Linked DNA regions of Drosophila melanogaster. The protein of the gene in region 2 interacts with the protein of the main gene of each other region in a pairwise test. Each region holds a gene or a part of one and is shown on either strand. Other genes may lie near its edges.

The links.
Region 1: the proteins of lig (region 2) and CG14490 interact in a two-hybrid assay, tested with the Drosophila melanogaster proteins (one large-scale study listed by BioGRID).

Annotation. Positions count from the first base shown.
Region 1 is NT_033778.4:17,857,695-17,863,479, reverse strand, and holds CG14490 (uncharacterized protein), read right to left. Parts: upstream 2,721-5,785; 5' UTR 2,682-2,720; coding exon 2,273-2,681; intron 2,208-2,272; exon of another isoform or gene 2,152-2,207; coding exon 1,967-2,151; 3' UTR 1,889-1,966; downstream 1-1,888. Other genes in the region: thr (three rows), read left to right, coding at 1-1,882; orai, read right to left, coding at 3,686-4,222, 5,683-5,785.
Region 2 is NT_033778.4:8,066,406-8,077,202, reverse strand, and holds lig (lingerer), read right to left. Parts: upstream 7,375-10,797; 5' UTR 7,305-7,374; coding exon 6,924-7,304; intron 6,869-6,923; coding exon 6,691-6,868; intron 6,383-6,690; coding exon 4,965-6,382; intron 4,841-4,964; coding exon 4,425-4,840; intron 4,077-4,424; coding exon 3,969-4,076; intron 3,837-3,968; coding exon 3,732-3,836; intron 3,604-3,731; coding exon 3,503-3,603; intron 3,230-3,502; coding exon 2,703-3,229; intron 1,792-2,702; coding exon of another isoform or gene 1,786-1,791; exon of another isoform or gene 1,731-1,785; coding exon 1,596-1,730; intron 1,539-1,595; coding exon 1,413-1,538; intron 1,344-1,412; coding exon 1,095-1,343; intron 911-1,094; coding exon 527-910; 3' UTR 161-526; downstream 1-160. Other genes in the region: CG17977 (uncharacterized protein), read left to right, coding at 9,759-9,860, 9,910-10,077, 10,445-10,453. UniProt on the Drosophila melanogaster protein: Acts in the nervous system to mediate the control of copulatory organs during courtship.

The DNA of each region.
Region 1 (5,785 bases), 9.8 Mb from region 2:
TCAGTCAGAAGAGGATGATGCCTGGCTGTTGCTTCTGAGGATGGGTCGCTTGCTGGAAGATCGTTTTACCTATCTGCGTGCCCTAAATCATTTTCTGTCACAGAATGAGGTTAGTTCTCGTTTAAATCTGAAACTCGGCGAGGAAGTGGAAGTAGCAGAGGAATTGCTGGATGATTTGTGGCCTCAATTGAAAAATGGCAAATTCTTCAAGCGTCAGCAAACTACGGTAATGCTCTGTTTTTGTCACCTCGCCAGTTACTATGCCAGAATGGAATGCTATAGTCATGCCCAGTTGCTTCTATTGCATGTGGAACAACTTCGCGAAGAGTTTCCTGAGAGACAAGGAAAAAGTGATATTGTATTGCTTACACTGCAAACGGTGCGCTTTCGAATTGGGTATCAGCAAAGGAAGCCAACGAATTGCAGGCTGCCGACTCCTCTGCGTCAATTGGACATTCTTCTGGACAATGTGCGAAGTTTTTGCAATCTATCCAGTTTAGATGGCGGCTCATTGCAGCTGCTTCTTTCGACTCTTGTCAGGGAAAGCACCGAGTGCTCTGCGAACAGATTAAGCGAAAGACTGTCCTTCTCCAACATTGCACTACATTTGGTACTCCAATCTGGCTTGGCTTTAAGAGCCATAGAGGTATTCCTTGCATGGTTATGGACCAATTTGCAAATGGAAAGTTTCGACAAGGCGCAATCGAAGTTGAGACTCATCGAGCATTGTTTAGGTATAAAACAGCTGAATCCAACGAGTAGGCCGGAAAAGGAAGCGATTAAGGATGTAGCAATTAGAGATCTGGCTAGTAATATGCATCTCCTCCAGTTGGTGGAGCCGATCAGAAAGCAGCAGCTATTAAATATGGCCTCGCCGAATCTGCTCAAAATGCGACCACATAGCCCAAATCCCCAACTGGACTTGGATCGCTACATAACACTCGATGTGGCGCCAGCGAATCTTCGAGAGAATTCCCAGCTGCAATGCTTGTACTTTGTAACGGGCTGTCTACATGCACGTCTCCGCTTTCTGCAGAGAAACAGCGAACAATTGGACGAATTCTATGGAAGAGCGCATAGTTGGATGCAGGAAAAACCTCCGATGAGTAGCGCTTTGTATCCCATGTTGCATGCCCAGCAGCTGTATCATCTGAACTATCTTCGCTTTGCGCGAAAGCATGTAGAGGCTATATCAACGGCTCAATTGGGCCTTAAAATGCGATCACGCGCGGTCGACATTAACTTCGAGTACAATTTTTTGGCTCAGCTAAAGACGGCTCAGTTAGAACTCAAACCCGTGGGTCAGGATAAGCCACAGGTCAAAATCCTTCGACGTGCTTTGGTATTCAATCACTCACCCGAAGATAAGAAACGAACCGCAATAGGATCGGTTTCAGCAGTCAAGAATACGGCGTCTAAAGTTAAACAGTCGGCCAAAAAGGCACCTCGATTCAGAATTTACGAGGAGCTGGAACTACGACCACCAAGTGCTACCAGTTGCAGTAGCAGCGGTGGCAGCGGAACAGAGAATACACCGCCTTCGGATCACGTGGATCTAAATGCCTGCCAAGCGATCGAGATAAGCGACGATGACGATTCACCTTTGGTGTCCACAAAGAAGACACAACCAAAAAGTAGGGAGAAGGCAAAACCCAAGGCCACATCCAAAGCTTGTAAAGTCCTAACATTGGATAATAGCTTGGAAATAGTAGAAACGCCGACAATAACTACAAGTACACGGAGCACCAGAGCCAGGCTGCGCCAACCAGTAGAGACACCAAAGACAGCGACTCTTTCATCCAAGCGAACGAGGCGCCAGGTTTTGGAAGCACAGGCTCCCGAAACGGAGTCCATTAGCACACGCACACGGCATCGGCACTGATTAGATAGTAGTCTCCTTAGTTCGTATTTATTCTTATCGAAAATGTCTTGGTATTTAAATATATATATATATTGTGTGTAAGTGTTACAAAAGAGCTTTTGACATAAATTCATTGTTTTTATCTTGTGGCAGGGACAGTAGTGACGTTCTACAGATGTCCTTGCTCCAAAAACCGTGCTGAATCCGCTGTCCATTGCTGGCATGGTAAAATACACCTGAGCCCGATTTGCAGCCTCCTTCAAATTGACCCACGTAGCGATTTCCCGTTGCTATGGATAACATATTAACTTATTATCTATAATCTTTATGCATTTTTAAAGTTGCGAAAAAATAAATAAAATGAAACAAATACATCCAAAGGAACATATCTTATTTCTTTATCACACTCACCCGTGAAAAGTAAACCCTTTTCGTGCATCTTGTCCCGAAGCCACTCGCCCACATAGATGCCGCCATCCGCCTGCCATAGGATGCCCTCTCCACTTCGCTGGTCCGCTAGCCACTGACCAAAGTAGACGGATCCGTCCGGATAGAACTGCTTGCCCTCGCCACTCCGCTTGTTCTCCCGCCACTGACCCACGTAGATGCGTTCCATGCGGCCATCGAGCTCCTTGCGACGCAAACTTCCGATGCCATGCCGTTGACCCTTCTGCCAGTGACCCTCGTAGACAAGTCCACTGCTCGTTTGCTTTACCCCAAACCCGTGAGGCTGCTGGCCCAACCATTTGCCCTGGTACTGCCCACCAGGATAACGTTGAGAGCGAACTCCACTACTATATCCGCTCGTACGCGACGACATGTCTTCGATGACTGAGCGCGGGAGCAAGTCCGTCCAATTGCGGCGGTGCCATGTGGTGTCGTCCGACTTTAGGCGGCGGTGTGCGTGCGGTGGTGTCACTTGTCTAATCGAACCCCCCCAGCCAGCAGCAGCATGTCTTGCCACCATTTGGCTTCCTCCAGCAGCGACACGCTAACTTAAGGAGGCCAAAGACATTGGCTCAATAGAAAATCGTTTGTTCCGGTTAAGTGTATGTAGTAAAAATCGTTTAATCAGTCGTATATAAATTACAGCGCTATTTAGCTTACATCGGTAAAGATCGAAAATAGACTGTTATATTTTCCAAAACTATTGGAATACCTATGAATATAATTCGTATATAAATATTGCAGTACATTTTCAAATACTTTATTTTACAATTGTTTTATGTTGCATATAAAATATATCAAATTGTCTCTAAAATTTTGCATTCTTTTAATCCGCATCTATTGTTCAGCTATATATCACGATTAAAAATAAAACTCCAACACCATATATATAGAAAATTCTTTTAATCATAAATTATATGGTATAAATTACAGCGCGGTTTCGCTTACACAATTGGCTTAATATTAAATTTGACAATCAAGTTGTGTCTTAAACGTAAAAAGGGAAGACTGCCTAAGGATGGTTGCAAAAAAAGAAAATCCGGCATGGCATACAATTTAAAATACACGCAATATAAATATGTAACAAATATCAGCTAATTTTTTGAGGAATATTCATCCGAAGTATTGCTTTAATTGGGGTCTTTTATCATTGTCAATATCCGTGCTAATCCGCAATTGCCATAAGTAAAATAAAGGACTACAGCAGCACTCGCACATATATATATATATATAGTAGAAATCTACTGAATTCCGCGTATCACAATTTTAATCAACTACAAATTTACAATATGTGTGTTTCACTAAAAATAATCTGAAGCTTACCCTGAGCCGCTGTCTTTTTCGTTCGATCCACTTGTGCGGATACGCCAAGTGATGCTAGACAATGTCCCCGGATGCGCCATAGTTCATGCCATTATTTCGTATGTTATTGTGATGCTCCAAATGATCCTGCTCCATCTGCTCCTTGAGCATCTCCAGCTCACGGATGCCCGAGACTGTCACCTCATATTTGTGCGACACCAGGGAGCGATAGAAGTGAATGGCGAAGGCCATAAAGATGATCATCACCGGTATGAGGACCACACACGCTGACCAAGCCGCCGGCGGACTTAGGTCATAGAATTTCACCCAGCACAGGATGGCTATCTCCAGTAGAAAGAGTATGAGTCCCAGCAGCGTGGAGAATGCCCACGCCGTTTCAATGTACCAATGGAGACGCTCGTGTGGCGATTCGTGGACCAGGGAAATACTATGCAAATTACACACCGTCTCAATATTTGGCAGGATACAGGTGCTGATCATCAGGGCCAGCATGTGCACCGCCACCAGGAGGGTGGTGCAGATGGCGAAGGCTATCAGCATGCCCGGTGGTACATTCGTATCGTGATCCAGTTGCACCTCCACCATCGCCACCTATGTGAAAATTGCAAAAGTGAAGAAAGTCATTAATGATTTTTATTTAATTTTGGTTAGAAATCGAAACGATTCCCCGGCATCGCCTCTTATTATTATTAGCCATTTCTCGCGAGAACATTGCAAAATTGGCAAATAAGCAACTTTTCTCTTATATTATGTGATCTGAATGGACCTAATTTATCTGATCCGCCCCTAATGCCGCGCCTCCCTTTCTTCAGCATGCTAGGTGTACATGTGGAATGCATAACAAGTTGATGAACCAAAAAAAAAAAGCGACATATAAATACCTCGTCACTCAATTAATTAATATAATAATTCAGCACCTGCAATACTTGCACATTTTCCAATTGATTTATTTAATATTATGTACTGCATACTATAATTTAATAATTTATCTAGATTTAACTGTGTCGTGTGTGGAATTGCTAGACAATAAGTGGGAATTTTAACAATGCTGGGAAACCAACGAATGTATCATGATGTATGTTGATATTTGCTTTGATATTTGCTCCTCTTCAGCAAAACTGCTACAATATTGCAATAGTCTAAACTACCCATAATTAATGGGTGAGAAATACATACGAGTATATGCACGGCAAACAGCTAACAGACTTGTTTGGCCAAGAAAACGATAGTGGGAATAAAACGAAATCTATTTCGTTGGCCCTCAATTTCTTGCTGCCGGCATCGAAAATAATTATGTTGGTTAGCAATATTCACAGGTACAGAAGGCTAATTATTGATGTATGATATATATATATATATATACATATATATATATTTATATATCCCTGTCATGATTGAAATTACTTAAATGCGACTGCGAGTAGGTTAATGGGCACTCAAACGGAACAAATAACAGATTGCATTCCGTTGCGCGATACGCCAAGTGGAAACCACTCTTATTATAAAATAACAATAATTATTTTGTTACAGTGTATGCCATATTCGTGGTGGCATTTTCCGCCTTTTGTGCTGAACAAACAGAAATGCGATGTCCAAATAAAAAGATTATGTGGTTTTTGCCATCATTTCTGGCCCTGCACATTGAGTTGGCTTAATGTTAAAAAAAAAAACATAGAACTATAACCTAGGGCAAAAAAGTAGTTAAATTGTAGTCTACAAAATAGCCTAATAATTCCTAATTGTTTCATTTTAATACACATAAATGCCCAACTTAATGTGATTTTTGCGCCAAATCGCTTTTCCTTCGAAATGTAATTTATAATGGATTTTTATGTGCATTTCCAAGGTATCTATAAGTTAATTGCTCTTTTAGAGATTCAGTTTAAAACTAAACTAATTTGTTACATTATGTATCTTCGATGAAAAATTAGCTTTGTATAATGATGTTGCTTTGATATTTACGTACATTAATTTTAAAACAACAGTTGTCAATGTATTGTATAAACCCTTTGTAAAGTATAAAGTCTCAATAATTAAGAGTTTAAACTCACCATGGCGAATCCGGAGAGCAGGGCGGACGTCTTGCTGGATGCCTTTAGCTTGGCCCGACTAAGCTGGAGCTTCCGCCAGGACAGGTAGGTGGGCGAGTGGAGA
Region 2 (10,797 bases):
ACAGTTTCATGCATTTCTCAATTATATGCCTCACTACCGTCGTATGAATTAAGCCAACAAACTTTCCAAGGACACTCTTTACTCGTACTTCTGCTGATGCTCCAAATCAATTTCAAAGTATCAGAAAATGCATGAAATGTTATTTGTTAGTAACGATCCCAGGTGAAAAAGAAAAGGTTTAATGATTGTCACACATAAAATACTTTGGGTGTTTGTTTTACAGATGATGTGCGTAGATAGGTAATAGAGGACTTACAAATATATGCTTGGCGGTTAGTGTTGATAATGGAAACAATTTACAAATACATGCGGTTCAACAAATCAACTCCATAGCTACAGGGCAAAAAAAAAACTGGTAAGTGTGATTATCCAGGATTAGTGTAGGTATAAGCTTATTTAAGGACATAAACCTATATGTAATCACAGTCAACAAGTGTACAATGTATTGGCGGGTGTGCAGCTACACAATTGGTGAAAATAAAATTGATGTGTTAACAATAACAAGATGAGTTCCCTAAGCATTTCATCAGTCGGCGAAGAAGGACAAGTCGTTGTTATTGTCATGAACACAGCAGTCGATATTAGGTTCAAAGTTATTGCAATGAGCGGCAACGAGCTGATTCTGACACTGGACAGGTTCGGTTTGCCAGATCCGGTGGTATGTAACTTGAGGACCGTTCACATTCCCATGAATGAGAACATGACTTTCCGTCCCTCCGCCTACAACAACCTGAAGTGGTAATTCTGAATGTACCTGGTGGATGGGCTGATGGATCATATTGTGGTGTCCGGCCGCTGGCATCGGCAAGTACATGCCGTACGGTTGGGCAGAGGTGCCTCCAGCCGTCTGAGTGTTGGGCATGTTAAACGGGGGCGGAGTGCCCGAATGGAAACTCTGCTTCTCGTACGACTGAATAACGAAAAATACAATGGTACAATGTAGACACGTCGGGAGATAAGGTGTTTTAACCAGGGCTGTGAAATCTTATTGTTGTATTGTTTTTTGCTCAAAGATAATTGAAGTCTTTTAACATCGAATTCAGGCTATGATGACCTGCATCCAAATCCACAGCCCTGCTTATAACCATACGTACATTAACCTTGTTCAGCGCCACGTGTCCTTTTCCGTACATAGAAGAGGTCAGATCGGATCCAGTGCCTGCCTGCGACTGGTTGGACACAGTCTGAGTTTTGCTCTGCTGATTCACGCTCGACGAGTAGCCGCCCTTGCTGTAGTCCTGCGTGGTCTGCGACAGAGTGTCATAGCTGGTCGAGCCGTAGCCCGCGCTATACGAAGGCTTCGGGAACTGTTGACCGGAGGCAGTGTTTGCTGCCGGTATTTGCTGAAATTGAATAAGTTTAGACGTTGATTAGATACTGCATACAAAGTGATTTGAATGTAATAGGCTTACTGGATATATGGCGGGCGTGCCATATTGAAAACTACCGGGCATTACATTGCCACCATAGAAGTAGGCGTAAGGAACATTTAGCATGGGCGCACTTGAGCCAGCCTGTTGCGACATTGTGCTGGAGACCTGCAAAATAAACATTTTTACCATCTATCGATCTATCTATCTAAGCTGAGCACATACATTGCCGACCGGACTGGAGTTATTGTCAGTGCGGGCAAAGCGTCCATCATTCATAGCAGAATACGTCACAGAGCCGAGGTTGTCACGTCCAGCTCCTAAACTGGCCGGCGGATAGTTCAGATCGTAATATCCCTGCTGCAATTGAGAATTATAGCATTAGGTTCGTCTTCACGCGAGCATTCTGGGCGTGTTATGGCTGTGAAGATGATGAACGGATCACTTTGTCAGAACTTCTTACCGAAACAAAATAAATATGTGATAAAGGTCTGACAAAACCACGTGTACCAGTTTCAACAAAATGAAATACGTTATGTTCAATGTAAGAAATTTATACATTAGTCAGATGTTAGGTTGAAGAAAAAAAAAAGGGTAAAATGTTAGTGATCGAATGAAATGGGTCAGTAAGGAGCACAGATTTCGTTGTAGTTAGGGATGCAAAGTAATTCAAGTATATATATATTTATATTTTAAGGTTATATTTCTTCGATTTGAATTGGCTTTGCATCCCTAATTCCACAACTACATTGTAGATGGAAACGAGGAAGAACGTTCGGATTAGTTTTTGGTTAATTTTGAGTGTAAAGCAGAGCCTGGGAGGTAAGCAATACATGTGGATTGTTTATCTTTTTTTTTTTGTGATAATGCCAGGAATGTGGAACTGGATGAAAACGGAAGCGGATGGTGCAGGGTGGCGAAGGAAAGTGTCAGCTTTTTACACAATCACACACACACATACATATTCAAACAGACACAGACTTTTAGGAGGTGGTATAATAAGGACTTGATCACAGACATCGCGGTATATGTATGTTATTATGTACAATGCACGCTGAGAAACGGTTAGGAGTGGGAGGCCGCAACGTCAACGAGCCAGGATCCGGATTAACGATTTCGATCAGCAGCGGGAGGCGAGCTGGGATGCGCTGAGCAGTTGTCGTATGCGTTTAAATTTTAAATGGAACTAGGTCTTGACTAATGCGAAAACGTTGTATAATGGGAGCATATTGATACGATTACTGTTTGATTAGAAACGGTTCGGTTGATTGGTCGGTTGCATTATGTAGTTGTTGGTTTGATATTTGCTTTTGCTTTTCTCCATGAACTCACCACATGTGGCACTCTCTGTTGCATCATTTGCAATTCCTCGTAGGAATACACTGGTTGCTGATAGTATGGCAATCCAGTCTGAATATATTGACTAACCATTTGGATGTTGGTGGGCACCAAGCCGCTACCGCTGCCACCACCACTACCAGCACCACCAGCACCCGACGAGCTGCCCACGCCGCCGGTGCTTGCTCCCGCACCTTGTCCGCTGGCGTTGCCCGTCGTCGTGGCAGCACTGCCACCGCTGCCGCTGCTATTGCTGCTGCTGGTGTTCTTGTTGGTCAGCGAGGCCAGCACTGCAGCGGTGGTTCCCGTGGCTGTCTGGGCAACGGTCGCTGCTCCCACCGAGCTGGCGCTGCTGCTGTTGTTGTTCACATTCACACCGACGCTGGACGCGCTGCCACCGGGCACGCCGACTCCACTACTTACGCCGCTCTGGCTTACGCCTCCGCCCACGCCAGCTACGTTGCCACTCGCAACGCCTGCCGTCACATTGCTGACCGAGCTGCTGCCGCTCACGCTGTTATCTGGAGAGGACGGAAAGGTTTTAGTTTAAATGCGAATACTAAGAATTCGGCCAAAAATAGAGCATTTCAGCTAAACAAAAAGTTTGAATCAAAAATTATATTTATTTTGGAGAGTTGTATTGTCAAAGCCGTGGCTAGATTGAAGTAGATTTGACATTGTGAGTTTGTTTTTAAATATTTTTGATATGGGATTTCTATACCAGAAAGCTTAATGACTGCAATGCATACTCTTTAGGGCCTCAACTGTTTGATATTAAATCATCGATTACTTACTGTTCGATACAGCCGCCTGGTTAGCACCTGTTTGACCGCTCACCACACCGCCATTGCCTGTGCTTCCGCTGTTGCTGCTCACTCCGCTGCTGGTTGAGACACTGAAAGGTCAATAAGATCAACATTAAGTGCTACAGGCATCCGCCTCTAAGTGGGATATGACCAGGGGGTTGGGTTAGTCGGAATATTTGAAAAAGCGGGGCATGCAGAGCGGGGGTTTCGCTCTTACCTGTCGTAATGAGCGGCGCTACTGGCCGTGGTCGCATCCTTTAGCTTGGCGCTGGCACTGAAATTGGCGTACTGCGAGGACGCGTTGCTCGCACTGCCAGAGAACCTGAACGAACGGGCGAGAAGCCGCAATTAAGCATAATGGAACCAGAACCAGTCCAAACAAGCAAAATAAGGTACGTGTCATCCCCAGGGAACTGATCGTATTGGGATTGGGATCGTCACATTTGGTACTTACCCGCTGCTGTTGGACAGTCCAGTGTTGCCATAAACACTCTGGCTTGACTGGTAAGCACTTTGTGGTGTCGAATATCCGGATGTGAGGTAGGCAGAGCTCGCATTGCCGCTGTTAGGTGCGGAGCGCGATTGCGGTTTGGGATTTTTGGGACATAAGCGAGCATTAAATGTGTTAGGAGAGAAGAAAAACAGTAAACAAAATGAAGATTAGCTCTCTTTCGGGTGGGGCTAATTGTTAAGCAAAACTTGCATACACACAAATATTTAAACTTTGAAGTAAAAGATATATTCGATAAGGTTTGTACCCTTGCTGAGTATAGTTAGTTGTTCCTTGCCAAATCGACTTGTTGCTTAGAAATAATTTTTAAATTTAAGAAATATGTAACTACGAATCTCTGCAAGGGTACGTACCCTTTGGAATTAAATATTAAACAATCAATACTGGATCATGTCATACCTCGTGCTATTTTGGCTGCTGCTGCCTCCAACCGGAATGTTTTGCGTCGCCGTTCCTCCGCCTCCGCTTACCGCACCTGTACCGCTTTGAGCCCCGCTGCCAGCCTGCTGCTGGTAGGAACTGGGCTGGTATGAGCCGTATCCCTGCTGCTGGTAACTGTTGGCTACTGAGCTTTGCACATTCGCGTATGTGGAGCTGCTGTAGCCACCGGGCGCGGTCGTCGGAAAGCCACTGGCTGTCTTACTCGCTCCACTGCTCTGGTACGCGTTTTGGTAGGCGTTACCACTGCCGCCCGTCTGTCCGTAGGGATCGCTCTTGGTCAGCTGATCGATTGTGGCATTCACCGCTGAGCTAACGCCCTGCTGCTGCTGTGACGTCGAACGGCTTGTATAGCCCGCTGCATTTAAGGCATCGCTCTATAAATGAGGAATGCTATTAGATTCTCAGTAATATATGCACTATGCTAAAAACTATCGTATTAACTAAATCATGGTGACGATGATTACTTGGGTGATTCAAAGGATACAGTACGGTACTTACAATCTGCGAACTCTGTAGACCTGCCGCTAGCGTCACCTGCTGCTGTTGCTGGGACTTGCTCTGGTAGTCATCTGGCTGCTGTTGCTGCTGCTGACCATCAATGCTAAAGCCCGAACCAACCTTCTCCGGCAATGGCTCGAAGCCATCGTCCGTGCCGAAGTCCAGAGCGCCGAACTGCACGTCCAGGTAGCCAATGTTGTTCAGTGCATTGTCTCCGGGCATTTCGACGGCACTCGCAGGAATCTTCGAGGGTGGTGGCAGCTTAACACGTGCCCTCCGTATCTGCGGTTGCTGCTGCGATTGCTCGGCAGTGCCAGCTCCAGCTGCCGTTCCAGAAGCGAATACGTTGGCATAGGTATTGGGGTACTGGCTCACACCCACGCTAGTGCTAGTTTGGGAGTAGGCGGCCACGGGGTTTTGCGCGTAACCCGCTGGCGCCGATTGCACTGGAACAGAACCTGGGCTGACGCCCTGGCTGGCCAACGAGTTGAAATACTGAGATTGCTCGACCGACAAAGTAGCCGACGGCTTGATAGGCGTCGTCTGCTGCTGAAGTTGCTGCTGCTTTTGTGCTTGATGCACCAGCGTGGCAGCTGCCGAGGCGGCGCTTGAGAATGTGTCGGGAGAGGCGGATACAAAGGATGACGGTGTGCTGCCTGCTCCTCCGCCGGCAGCTGCGCTCGCTCCTGTACCCGCTCCTGACTGTGTGCCCTGGGACTGCAGCTGGGGCGGTGGATTACTGACCGCTGCGCTGTATTGCAGCAGCGGCGTGGTCGCCGAGCCGCTCAGCGTTGCTGGCGGTGTGACCGCCGCTGGGCCGCTGCTGGAGCTCTCCTCCAGATGAGATCCCTGCTGCACCAACTGATGTTCAAGGCCCGGTGGCGCCGATATCTCGGTTCCAGCCGCCGCAGGAACAGCTGTAACACTCGCGCCAGTTCCGCTAACCACGTTGGCAGCGGATTGCGTTGCCAGGTTGCTAGTGGTGAACACCTTGCTGTCCTTGAGCGAGCCCTCGTACTCCTCGTTGTTCCAGTCGCCCCAGGCATCGTCATGAGCCTGTTGCTGCTTCTCGGCATTTTGGGCAATGGTGTTGTCCCACAGCTCAACCTCGTGGTGATCCTCGTTTGCATTGCCACCGCGACCTGATCCATAAGCACCACCAGGGCCTCCGCTGCCGCGATCGCCACGCGGTCCACCGGTGCGTCCCCCCATGCGGCCGCCGCCACGGCCAGAGCGAGAGACAAAGCCACCACCGCGTCCACCGCCACCGGGACCACTGCGTCCGCCGCCGTTGCGCTGCCCGCGGTAGTTGTCATTTGCCCGATCGTCACCGCGGTCCTGACCAGCGTTTTGCCCGGACCAAGGTTCGCGAGATTCGCGCTGGTTGCGCTCATTCTCACGAGTCTCTCTTCCGCGCCCTACAATATTAGAAATCAAATATTAATTTATGTTCAGAGGATTAGGATAAATATCATTTACTAAAATTATTTCATCAATTTAATATTTTCTCTAATTACAGCTCGCGCATGACCAACAAATGCTGAACCTTAAATGTCAATCAGCATTGGAATATTTAACGATCTTAATTTTTATATATGTTCTACATAAAAAGAAACGTTATTTTTAGCAGTTTTACAATAACTGTAATGCAGAGCTTAAAGATCCAAAACGTTTAGTAATGCCCTAAGAAACGTTTTAGTAAATGAGCGTGGCTTATGATACTTACATCCACGACTGTCACTGGAGCCACGGGTGCCTCCGCGATTTGAGCTGCGGTTTCGCGACTTTTCCCGCCTGTCCGCATTGCCATTGCCATCGGCCCAATCGCCATCGCCAGCAGCACCATCAGCCGTGTTATTTGCAGCCTTGTTCTTGCGCTTTTTCTCGTACTTGGCAAAGGCGCCCTAAAACAGATTCAATTGAATAACTGGAGCGCGGGAGATTAGAATCGAAACTAACCTGCGGTAGCTCCTCGATCAAGAAGTTGGCCGCGGCCTCCAGGTCGTAATCGCACTCGTTGAGGGCACAGCAGACCTCCTCCTCGGAACGTTGGGTCATGGTCAAAAGAAGGAGAACCTTCTCGTTGATCTGCGGATCCTCTGTGGTGCTATTGGTGATCTGGGCAATGCGCAACTGTTCGGTGGTAGCCTTGGGCTGGGCCTTCTCTGGCTTGTCTGTCTTGCTGGCATCCTGGCCTCCCTTCTTGCCAGCGGCCGCAGCATGTGAGACTCCATCGTGATGGCCGGTTCCTCCTCCGCCGGAGTTGCTGGCATTTGACTTTTTCTGGTTGCGGGCATGGCCGCCGCCTCCCCCGCCGCCTGAACGAGTTTGTGTGCTCATCTCTATGTACACTGTATATACAAATTAGCTGCAATACGAAAAAGATGAAGGATTCGATCTTAAAACCAGGGAATCTACAAACTGACTGATAAAAATTTAAGTCTGTGCTGACTGGATTCTGAGTATGGGACTCTCTGGGTTTACTTAATGTTCTATAAGTAAAATAGTAATATCTAAAGATCAATGCAAATAAGTAGAGAGTAATAAGTAATGATTTTTGGTGTTGCTGATTTAGAAAGTTAGCCGCCTGGTTCGCTTCTGTTAGTTGATATTCAACTATAATATAGCAGAAATTCAATTGGAATTTACAGCGCATTTACATAAATTTTTTGTTGGATAGAGAATAATGAATGGTTAAGATCTAAATCTTGATTCGTCGGCGTGGAAATATTAATGGTAAACTCCCACAATCCAGACAGCTTTTATCTGGGAATGTGTTAAAATGGCTAAACAAGTGGCCGAAAGAGAGCAGCAAAGGAAAAGTTGGCAAGATGAGAGTTCAATGTACATTTAATAAAAGAGAATGAAAGAACGTGAACAAACAGACACACGCCGAAGCAAAGAAGTGCGAGAGGAAGGGAAGATCGTACGCACAAACAAAGCGAGCATTCAGAAATAACAAAAATAATGAGGGGGGTGAAAAGTGTATTGGCAAAACAGGTAACAGAATGATTGCCGAGGGGGTGGCGGGGTACGTGACCACGACGCATCCAAGCCGAAACGTCAGTTGGCATTTCCAGGGGGGGTGGTTCATGGGAAAGAGAGCGGGAGAGGCGACCCCGATACCAAGTGCATATCTGAATCACTCAATTTTTGTTGTCAAAACAGTTTTATCAACGTTTGCCGTGAATAACGCCTTTCCATGCATTATTCATACACAGACACACGCGCGTACTGCCGCACACAAACAAAAGACCGCTGTCGCCATCACTTTTCCATCAGGTTTCGCATTTCGCACGTACACCATGATATGGAAATTTGACCACGGGAACTGGGGAACTGCGATCCGAGACCCGGAAACTACTCAATACCAATTGCAATGGGAATCGCGGTGACTGACATACACAAAAATTGATTTATAAACTCCTTGGCCTCTTCGCTTCGGTTTTTCGCTTTCGCTTTTGTGCTCGCTTTTCTGCATCTGTCCTAGCGGCATCTCCCTCGCACCCGCACCAGCGCGGGCTGACCAGTGTTGCCAGGTGCGAACAAAGCGCAGCGGCACTTGGCAAGGCCGTTAAATTAACCAACAATCGGAGCACAATGATTGGATTCGTTAACGAGGTAGCAGGTCCTAGAGAGGGCAAACAGCGTTAGCTACAATATCTGCACAAACGCACAAATTCACGGCAGGACTCGGATGGCACACATCACTAGGTACGCTCCGGCACTTGGCAACACTGAATGCGAGGGCATTGAAACCGAATGAAGCGCACAAAGTGGAATGCAAAACCGGACAAAGTGGCGTACACTGCGCCGAAATAAGCGAAATGTACGATTCGTTGTTGGCGAAATTTGTCCAATATGTGACATACCCGGCAAGGATAACGCACTCCCAGTTGCACATTGCGGGGCAAACGGGATATATAGCCTTAATAGACCCAGCCATGTGCACATACTTCGACGCCATTTCTGCAACGCCACACTAGCCGACTCTTTCGCTCTTATGTAAACCAAGGGACCCAGTAATTGACGACGACCGCCGCTCCAGACAGCGGCCACTATTGAATTTTCAACCGAGTTTTTCGCTGACAAGCCCCCGGGAGACATGTCGAAAACACGTTGCACAGGTGGGGGGACACTTAAACTAAACTTTAACACCTCAGCAGGGTTCCGGTCACGGCTTTAAATTGGATAAACAAATTTTCAAAACGGAGTCACACTCAATACCTGCAAATGCGCCGAGAAACGCACTTTTAATGTGACCGCTCGTTAGTCGATCGATATGGCTTTATCTGGGCATGCAGCCCTGGACTCAGAAATCTAGCGGTGCCACGAATCAGTTTTACTAATTTTTAAATTGATAACATTTCTATACCATTATTAAAAGGCTTCAAAAAGCTAATTTATCCAATTTTCCATTAGCTAATATAAGCAGCTTACCTATTAGAAGCTGATTTCGATCTTAAATATGTTGTATGCTCCTTGTTAAAAGGTTTTGAACTCGTATTAAATCAAGTGGTATATCGATACCAAATGAAAAGTTGTTGGCATTTGCACACCTCTATCATCAACAAAACATACTACTTTTGAAAAAAAAAACAAACAAAATCAGTTCATTTACCAAACTATGGACAAAATATTGCATTTGATGACAAAACATTAAGTATATTTACCCAGGCGAGCAATGAGCACACACCAATGCCCCAAATATTCGAGTGACGACGACGTCGAGATATTGAAAGATGCAATGGAGGAGCTGCAAAAATAAGCTTGAAAAGATCCTAAAAAACCAAAATGACTTTTGCAAGGTGGAACTGGACTATTTTCCCGTGTATGATCCCGACGAGCTTTCCAATCTGGATGCGAATCTTTCAAAGCCGGGCAATAGCACAAAACGTAAGCCTGATTATTGGGGTATTACAAACTTGATCTTTTTGTTTTCCAGGCTCATATTATTCACCGCATCCTGAGGCCAGAAGGTCGAATAGAACCGCTGAAAAACAATTTGTCAAAGATGTTCAACTACGATATTCTCATGGCTTACAACTGCGACGGTGAGCTCTCAGTCAGCAGTCAGTCATCTCATACAAATATATTAACGAAACTATTTTTGGTGAGTTAAGTATAGCTTTGTGCAGATTTAAAGCATTCATTTCGTTTACTAAATTAGGTGTTGCTATTTATAATTTGGCGTAAAAAAAACTATCCTGGCTTATAAGCTAATGGGTCAATTTAGTTTATAATTACTAGTCATTCTAAATAACTAAATTATATTTGCATGGGATATTTTTATGCTTGAAGACCGCGATGGTTCCTTTTTTATAGTGCATCAAACTTTCCATATCTATTATATTATTATATCTTAAGTTGTTCGTATTTGTGAAATTAAATTAGTAAGCAGGAATATTTTTAGAATCAGTACTTTTAGTTAGTTGCGCTAAAATTTAAGAAAACATTTTCTGGTAATCTCTCATCTTTAGGGGTCCTGAAAACAGACATTAAGGCGACGATATCATAAAAGAAACCACGACTTACGGAGGAGGATTAGACAGAACCAAAAGTGTGAGCCAGATTCTGATTGGGATTAGCCGATAAGCTGGTATCAATGCTGCATTTCGTTTATTTGCAACGTTTATCTCAACGAAAGGAATATTAAGCCAAACCGGTTTTGGCTCTCTGCAGTAAGTTGTGTTCTTTCCGCTTTAATGAGGTTATTTTCGGCTTGCATAGCGCCTCGAAACGCCAGTCTTTTAAACCGTAACGTTCTGGTCGACATCCCCTTGGAAAAATATGGATCAAAGATTTCACCACATGTGGCTTTTAAGTGGTTCTA